Linked DNA regions of Saccharomyces cerevisiae S288C. The gene in region 1 interacts genetically with each later gene. Each region holds a gene or a part of one and is shown on either strand. Other genes may lie near its edges.

Region 1 (4,780 bases):
GCTGATCTCTTGCCTGATTCATTCACCTCTCTCTCTGTTAGTAGCTTCATAGCTTTATCTTTCCAATAAAACATATCTTTTTCCAACCTTGATATAATGGCGTCTTTACTCGGAATTCGTGGTGCTGGCTGTTTTGATACGTCATAAACACATTTTAACCCATGCTTGACGCATCGACCACATTCAGGTTTTTCTCTATCACACTTTGTTTTTGACTTCCTACAAGCCTGGCAGACAAACAATATTCTATTTCTTTTCCTATTATGTGTTTCGGAGTTCTCGGGGGCAGGCGATGTGCTTGAGTGCTCAGCTTCTAATCCAGGCGTTGGGTTATTGAACCCTAAGAAAAACGCCTCCGAATATGGCTTGGTAGAGCTATTATCATCATTTCCGGCATGTGGGGCCTTCTGCGTACTATTTTCGACCATGACTTACGCAACCTAATCTATTATTAACCTGCTTCTAACACAAAATAGCCAACAGTAAATCCCTTCTGGAGGATCTGTTTCCTTCTCTACACGTCAAAAAAGATGTCAGAAAAAAGCGGCAATTGCGTACATTTAAGGAAGCAGAGCCAAAGCGAATTTCACATTTAAGGTTTTTATCGCTGAAATATGTGTGGTGTTGGGATGTAATGGAGATAATACACCTTTTTGAGCGGTTTTCTATGAAATATAATGTAGGATATCCTTGCCCTTAAATATTTATATAATAAGTTGTTACATGTGAGTATATATTGGATTACAAATATGGGTTGTTGTTGCGGGCGTTTTCGTTGCTGCCGTTGTTGTTAAAATGCGAATATGATTTATTGGAATTCCCCAGGTAGAGACTTGATTCAGGCTTCATTAAACTGGAGGTGCTTGTATTATTCGGCGCTAGATTAGTACGAGAAGCAGATGACGCACGTTGGTACTGTGGAGACAAGAAGCTGCCACCCGTACCCATGACAGCGGAGGTTGGTTGCACAGGTTGCTCCGTTACTTCCGAGGCATCGAAGGGAGAGGAATTTTGCTTAAAAGAGGATGAACTAGTCTCATCATCAAAGAGTCTTGCTGTATTTGTGTTTGCATTCAGGTTCTTGCCGAAAGTGTCGTCACGGAACATTTTTTCTTCCTCATTTTCATTGGTGTCCATAACAGCTTTTCTCAATTCAAACAGTTCAGAATCATTTTTGTTTTTGCCATCGAAATCATTTTGAATCTTAGGAATGAATGACACACGGTCATCTTTCATTGGTTGGTAACGGACATCTGGGTTTCTGTGTAGTAATGCCAGTGTACAGGTGACAATAGTGAACAATAATAGGAATAGAGCAAACACCGCGTTCAAAACGAACAGAATAACCGCCATCACTGACGAAACCACTGCTGGTTGCTTGAACAAATTACTGAAAAACAAAAAGAAAAATGCATTGATCAAATTCACCAAATGAATAGCAATATTGAAAACATTAGTTCTCTTGTCCAAATATGGTCTTATCCAACAGAGACAAACGAAGTAAGCTAGTTCAATGACAAAGATGATCATTGCTTGAGCCTTACCTTGGTTTTGTAAAACGGCAACAAACAGGGATCTTAAGAACGCATAACTTAATAAGGGTAAAAGCCACCAAAACTTATCTGCTTTGAATTGAACGTATAAGAACCCAAACTTGTTCAAGAAGTAGGTATCACTGTAAAGTAGGTACGCAGGATTCTTGTATAATCTGAGAGACTCTCTTCCCTTGATGAAAACCCTTATAGTTCCATAAACCAGAAGTCCCGTGATGATCAGTAATATTACTACCGCATCAACAACAATCGCTGGAGAGTTGACCTGAGTAAATTCCCAAATCGCCAGAAGAGAAACTTGAGGGAAGGCGATGATAGATAATCTGAAAAGGGTGCCTTTGATAATACTCCCCCAGTTCTTCCTATATTGGAAGAAATTGGAAGTCTCTTTCAATATTCTTGCTCTTGTAAGAACTTCCAATAGCGCCTTAAAGAAAATCAAAGAGACGACAACTACAAATAGGAAGAATAGAAAAAACACAATACCGGTCAAAAAGAAATTAGATAGCTCAATATTAGCCAAATAAGCAACTCTTTCTATACCTCTTAACACGAGAATCTTGGCTGAGTAATTGCTTGGATCCTTCTCAGAAGTGGTGTACAGATTCGAATCGTCTAAAATGGTGTCAAAATTGTAATCACTAGACGATGCCATAGAGATAGCACGTTTTTGCACACTAATGGACAAGACGTCCTTGTTAGCTACCACAACATTTGAGACACCATTAGTGGCCTGTACGTACCAATCAAAAATCTTTTGCATGAAGTTTGTATTGATGATACCCATGGACCATTGGAAATTCTGCGTCCACGCGGCAGCAATGGGTGGAACCCTTGAGACACCCATCATTGCAGTGATAGCTAGATTTTGGAAGTATATGAACAATGAGATGGAGTTGGACGCAATGTGAGCAGCAGTGGCTGAGTAACCGATCACAGACACAAACCCTGAGGTAAGTACACCGACACCTGAGATAGCGGCAATGGGCCAGGCCGCATACTTTGTTTGCACTGTCTTCCCGTTACTCAAGATAGCCTGGACACAAGCCAGCGGAGTTTCGAATTCCGTGTCATTCTGAGCGTATGCCACCACACGTACTTGTGCGTCCAAATCTGGAATGGTGTAAGCAATGCCGGGAAATTGCTTGGTAATGGATGATTCGATCACCTGTGTGGACATGACATCAATACGCCCAGCACTTAGGGGGCAAAGCGATACTTGGCCCAAGGAACATAAATCAAAAGTCTTATCCAGGACTTTCAGTCCGTAAGTAAGCAGCTCAGCCTTCACAGTGACGTTCCCATTAAGCGTCGTCGTAGCGTCAATATCAAAGATAACAGTATTATTATCGGGGTAAAATTTCACATCAAAGAATGATGCCGTTAATTGCGAATTGTCCATACACGTCAATAAAGAAGTGGTCTGCAAATGCTTTGCAGACGCCGGAGTAGTGTCGTTTGTGTCAGAGGAACGTGCTGTACCGCTGCACAGTACGAAACACGTTAAAAGGCACCTTGCGAAGGTGTTTAGGAAGATCATGGCTATATAATCTTTTTATCACGTCAATATAATCGTAATGAAACAGAAATGAATGTATTATAATACACTGAAACACGGTATAGCGCAGCAAATTGTTTTAGTTTAAGGGGTATAAATGTTTTCCAAGGGTGGTGTTCTATATATATATGCCATTCATATACTTTTAATAATGTTCTATACGTATTCCCGTGAAGGCATTAATGATTATCTTTTTCTTTAAAAATGCAAGATGGCTGAGTAGTCGCGCGAAAAAAAAAAAAAAAAGAAACAGCAAGGTTAATTTTAGAATACCAACAGGAAAAAAGAAAAGATTATCCTCCCAGAAAAACAATCTGTTTATTACCCGACATTCTTAAAAAAACAAAAGCAAATCACATGTGCACATACGTCCAGAATGATATCAAGATAAATGGCACGTGTATGTACGGCTGTGTAAATATGATAATCATCTCGGACGAACGGCGTAGCACTCTCCATCCCCTAAAAATGTTCACGTGTGACTGCTCCATTTCGCCGGATGTCGAGATGACCCCCCCCCCTCAAAAGGCACTCACCTGTTGACATGCCGTGGCAAATGATTGGGGTCATCCTTTTTTTCTGTTATCTCTAAGATCCAAAGAAAAGTAAAAAAAAAAGGTTGGGGTACGAATTGCCGCCGAGCCTCCGATGCCATTATTCAATGGGTATTGCAGTTGGGGTACAGTTCCTCGGTGGCAAATAGTTCTCCCTTCATTTTGTATATAAACTGGGCGGCTATTCTAAGCATATTTCTCCCTTAGGTTATCTGGTAGTACGTTATATCTTGTTCTTATATTTTCTATCTATAAGCAAAACCAAACATATCAAAACTACTAGAAAGACATTGCCCACTGTGCTATGTCGCCCTCTGCCGTACAATCATCAAAACTAGAAGAACAGTCAAGTGAAATTGACAAGTTGAAAGCAAAAATGTCCCAGTCTGCCGCCACTGCGCAGCAGAAGAAGGAACATGAGTATGAACATTTGACTTCGGTCAAGATCGTGCCACAACGGCCCATCTCAGATAGACTGCAGCCCGCAATTGCTACCCACTATTCTCCACACTTGGACGGGTTGCAGGACTATCAGCGCTTGCACAAGGAGTCTATTGAAGACCCTGCTAAGTTCTTCGGTTCTAAAGCTACCCAATTTTTAAACTGGTCTAAGCCATTCGATAAGGTGTTCATCCCAGACCCTAAAACGGGCAGGCCCTCCTTCCAGAACAATGCATGGTTCCTCAACGGCCAATTAAACGCCTGTTACAACTGTGTTGACAGACATGCCTTGAAGACTCCTAACAAGAAAGCCATTATTTTCGAAGGTGACGAGCCTGGCCAAGGCTATTCCATTACCTACAAGGAACTACTTGAAGAAGTTTGTCAAGTGGCACAAGTGCTGACTTACTCTATGGGCGTTCGCAAGGGCGATACTGTTGCCGTGTACATGCCTATGGTCCCAGAAGCAATCATAACCTTGTTGGCCATTTCCCGTATCGGTGCCATTCACTCCGTAGTCTTTGCCGGGTTTTCTTCCAACTCCTTGAGAGATCGTATCAACGATGGGGACTCTAAAGTTGTCATCACTACAGATGAATCCAACAGAGGTGGTAAAGTCATTGAGACTAAAAGAATTGTTGATGACGCGCTAAGAGAGACCCCAGGCGTGAGAC
Region 2 (4,478 bases), on another chromosome or scaffold:
TACATTTTCCATGTCAGTTGGTAATTGATGCGAGCACGCTAGTAAATATGATGTACTTGTAGGTCTCCAGAAGAATGCGAAAATGACGAAGACCAAGAAGTAAACGAAACTAGGCCAAGTATCTGTGATGAGGAATTCTGTTTTCCAATATTGTTCTATCATGTCAACAGTGTCCATACCGACGTATGCAAAAGTAGAGACTAGTAAGCCTAAGAAGAGTATAAACAACGAAATATAACACAATATGATCAGTTTTCTGTACATGTTTAATTTCACCACTTGGTTTTGTTCCCTCAAATAAGTCATTGTTTTGTTCATTGAAGACAGTGTCAAATAATAGAAAGCGAATAGACATAATACTAAGGGGATAGCAGTAATCAAAATCAAATTGGATAAAGACTCAGAATTCTGGGAATATTTTTGGACCAGGAATGCAACGCACACTGCAAACGTAAATATCGCAAATATTTGACATCTTCTTAGCAATGTACGGTCCAGTTTTGGATATACTATACCATATCCAAGAGATATCAGCAAGGCGAGGAGAAGCGTGAAAGTCATCTTACCGGCGCTAAAGATCGATATGAAAACCATATAGACATGAAGAGCGACGCTGGAGTTTCCCTTCTGGTTCTCAATAATATAGTACATCCAGACGAAAATAGTATCAGCTGTTAGGAAAATACAAAATACCAAAATGTACCTTTGTAAAGGCAGTAACTCATGTCTATGCTTCCAGCATAGCCAAGAGTACACTAATGTACAGACGGCATAAGCGACGGCCAAAAAGGCATAAATAGGCATCTTGTACGCCTCTGAAGCGTCCAATTGACCGTAAGCGTTCCTAAAATTCACTGTAGCCTTAAACTTGGAACTGGAAGAAATGAAAGATGACGTGGTCACACAATAGTAACCAGTTTTGTTAATTGAGTATACCTTGTCGTTAGTGCCCAATTCTTGTTGAGTGAAAGTCAAAATCTGACTCGTTAGCTTATGTTCCTTACTGGTGAACGGATCGATGGCTGTCTCTTGAATGATAAATTGCCCCTCCGACGAATCCTCACAGAGGCCCAAATCCAATGCGTAGTCATCGCAAATATACTGAATTTCTCCATTTGGTAACCGCACACCAATATGCTCATAATCTTGGAAATCAAACACAGCAACACTAACCCCCTCGCCATCATCGTCTTCATCAGCAAGTGACAATTCCTCCAACGTAAACGATATATAGGGGTCAACTTTTCCATTGAAATCCTCCTTGGAATACATCCCTGAACAGACATCGTGATATTTTTGATTTATGCTTTCTTGGTTCCCTTGAACTACCCCACAGAGTAGCAACAGCCACGTCAGTAATAGCCACGTTCTATCCATTTTTCTGTTCGCTAGTTATTGTGTCTAGTTTGCCCAAAAATGATTTACACAATACAGTTGAAATTTCAATACCTTTTTTTTCAATTTTCAGTTTTTCCATGTTGCAATGCGAGAATGGGTATGGGTAGCAAAAATTTCTAGTAGTAAAATCGATAGGAAAAAAAAAATGGAAAGAGCAATAGCCTTTTAGACCTGCCCTGCCTTATCAAGTTGTCATCTCATCGATGTAGGAATCTATTCTCTTGGCCATCCGGACGTCTATATCGCTAAGCTGGCTGTGAGCCCCGTCTTTCGGGTCTATGTCATGCGTATGAAGTTCCAGCTTGACCCAGGTGTAACTTGTGTGAATCAGGGGATGGTGGCCCCATAGATGAGATCTCATCGATACACGAGTCAAAAAGGCCCATGTGGTTTCGTAGTCCTTGAATGTTACCTCTCTTGTTATTCCCAAACATTTGGTCTTATTAGGGTCCCATTGAACTTCCCAACGGGTCAAGGGTTTTAGCTTCTCGAGTAGTTTGCCCCCTGTGAGTGCACTGGACGCGATTCTAACAATCTTGTTGTGCATTGTATTCTTACTTTGGTTTCTTTCTGCTTTTGGTAGGTTGTGTTTACTGTTTTATAACTGGAAGGGCTTAAATTCCAGATTGGAAAATTGAGAATGCCTTGGACAAAAAGCAAATAAAGGGACCCAAAAATAGTAAAGAGGAAATCAGGAAGGAAAGGCATGTCGTCAAGCCTTTTTATCCTGGATGAAAATCTGGAGCCATTGGTATCGAAGAATATTAGAGCACTACCGAATCTATCGTCGGTTCTTTCAAGTTTCAAACAATGTTATCATGACGGGTCGCCTCCAATTCTCTCCCAAAACGATTGGTTCTTTATACATTTGAAGAGAGACTTTCTGCATTTCGTTTCAGTGATACATACCACAGACAAACCAAATATAGACTTAATGACTATACTAGCCTTTTTGGAACAATTTTATCATCTTTTACAAAAATATTTTGAAATCGAGGTCTTAACTAAGAATGTCATACTGGACAACATCTTACTTGTCCTGGAGTTGATTGATGAATGTATAGACTTTGGTATCGTACAAGTGACGGATCCAAGTATCATCAAGGACTACATTCGTGTGAAGGTCAACGTACCAAGAGTTACAGTAGACAATGAGGAGTGGAGCCCTGGTGAAGAGAGCAGTAGTAGTAGCGGTAGCGATAGCGATAGCGAGTACAGCAATACTAATAAGAGGAAGGATAAGAAGAAGAAAAGGAAGAAGAAAAAGGGCACTAAAGGGAAAAGCGTGGGCAAAAGTAAATTAAAAAGTATAATGGTAAACAATAAAGAAAATAGGGGCATAAACGTGGTGGAAACTGTCAAGGAGACACTAAGGAACAAGAATGATACCGGTAAAGAAGCCGCTAATGACGAGCTCCCCAATGACGGTAATGATTTATACATCAATGGCGATATTGCGAAGACGATTATAATGCCCATATCATGGAGAACAAAGGGGATACATTACGCCAAAAACGAGTTCTTTCTTGATGTTATTGAACGTGTTCAGTACTTGATGGATTTTGAAAAAGGAGTGATTAGGAAAAATCTGATACATGGAGAGATTGTGTGCAGATGCTATTTATCAGGGATGCCCAAACTGAAAATATCCATAAACAAGATACTGAACAGGGACCCCCAGTTCATGTCGAATTCCAGCTTTCATCAGTGTGTTTCACTAGATTCCATAAACACTATTGAAAAAGATGAAGAAAAGAATAGTGACGATGATGCTGGTTTGCAGGCCGCCACAGATGCAAGAGAAATCGAATTTATACCGCCGGATGGCGAATTTGTTCTTTGCCAATACGAGTTGAAGAGACATGTAAAGGATGCGCCGATGGTGAGGTTGAAAGATTTTGAAATCAAACCTAAACTGAAGAAGTTTAAAATCCAAATTGTAACCAAAATTCAAACAAATTTTAAACCCACCAACTCAACGTCGAAGCTAAACGTGAGAATTCCCCTGACAAAAGTCTTCCAGGAATATAAAATAGACCTCAGCAAGCAAATTAGATTCAAGGCAAACATCGGCAAGGTCGTGTTTAACTTGAGTGACGATTTTCTCCTCTGGGAGATACAAACCATGAAGGGGCACCGAGAACATAGCACAAACAAGAGCTCACAGTACAACAGCGACGAAGATGATCCAAATACGTGTGCATCCATGGTGGCAGAGTTCCCCCTCTTCAACCAGGAAGAATATGACCGCCTGCAAGAAGAAATGAAAACCTCAATGAATCCGCCGCCCTTGCGCACGGGACCCAGGCTGGAAGAACTATATAGACAAGTGCACGACCAACAAACTTCCCACGTTACTCCTCGAGATAAGTTGGTCAACATTGATTTCGAGATTCCGTACTGTACATGCAGTGGCCTGAAAGTTGAGTACTTGAAGGTCGAAGAGCCACAATTGCAGTACCAGTCTTTCCCCTGGGTCAGATACAAGACCGTCAGCGACGAAGAGTACGCATATATTGTTTGACGCTTACGCAGACATCTCATAGATAGACAAATGGTACGTTCGTTTTAGTATATAGATGGCACCTTATAATCTTCATATGCAACCGGGTAAAATCGGGCGTTCTTATTTTTTTTTTTTCCACCTCAATGAGAGGGATTAATAAGAGGATTGGAGCAAGACAGCGATCTGCACTTAGCCAAGAAAGCATATCAGGCCAGAACGTGGCATTTTGTTTACAGTGCTGATTAAAGCGTGTGTATCAGGACAGTGTTTTTAACGAAGATACTAGTCATTGATGTCTGAAAATCAACGTTTAGGATTATCAGAGGAAGAGGTAGAAGCGGCTGAAGTACTTGGGGTGTTGAAACAATCATGCAGACAGAAGTCGCAGCCTTCAGAGGACGTCTCACAAGCTGACAAAATGCCGGCAAGTGAGTCGTCTACGACGCCGCTAAACATTTTGGATCGCGTAAGTAACAAAATTATCAGTAACGTAGTGACATTCTACGATGAAATAAACACCAACAAGAGGCCACTGAAATCAATAGGGAGGCTGCTAGACGATGACGATGACGAG

The links.
Region 2: of FLC2 (region 1) and APM2, extra expression of one rescues a mutant of the other (dosage rescue), as found in Saccharomyces cerevisiae (one study listed by BioGRID).

What each region holds. Positions count from the first base shown.
Region 1 is NC_001133.9:44,212-48,991, reverse strand, and holds FLC2 (flavin adenine dinucleotide transporter FLC2), read right to left. Parts: upstream 3,094-4,780; coding exon 742-3,093; downstream 1-741. Other genes in the region: oleate-activated transcription factor OAF1, read right to left, coding at 1-428; ACS1 (acetate--CoA ligase 1), read left to right, coding at 3,970-4,780. UniProt on the Saccharomyces cerevisiae protein: May be responsible for the transport of FAD into the endoplasmic reticulum lumen, where it is required for oxidative protein folding.
Region 2 is NC_001140.6:67,175-71,652, reverse strand, and holds APM2 (Apm2p), read left to right. Parts: upstream 1-2,104; coding exon 2,105-3,922; downstream 3,923-4,478. Other genes in the region: YHL017W (uncharacterized protein), read right to left, coding at 1-1,377; MCO14 (4a-hydroxytetrahydrobiopterin dehydratase), read right to left, coding at 1,583-1,945; transcriptional regulator OPI1, read left to right, coding at 4,197-4,478. UniProt on the Saccharomyces cerevisiae protein: Component of the AP-1-related (AP-1R) complex, an adapter protein complex that mediates of cargo protein sorting in clathrin-coated vesicles. AP-1R has a specific role in SNARE SNC1 sorting.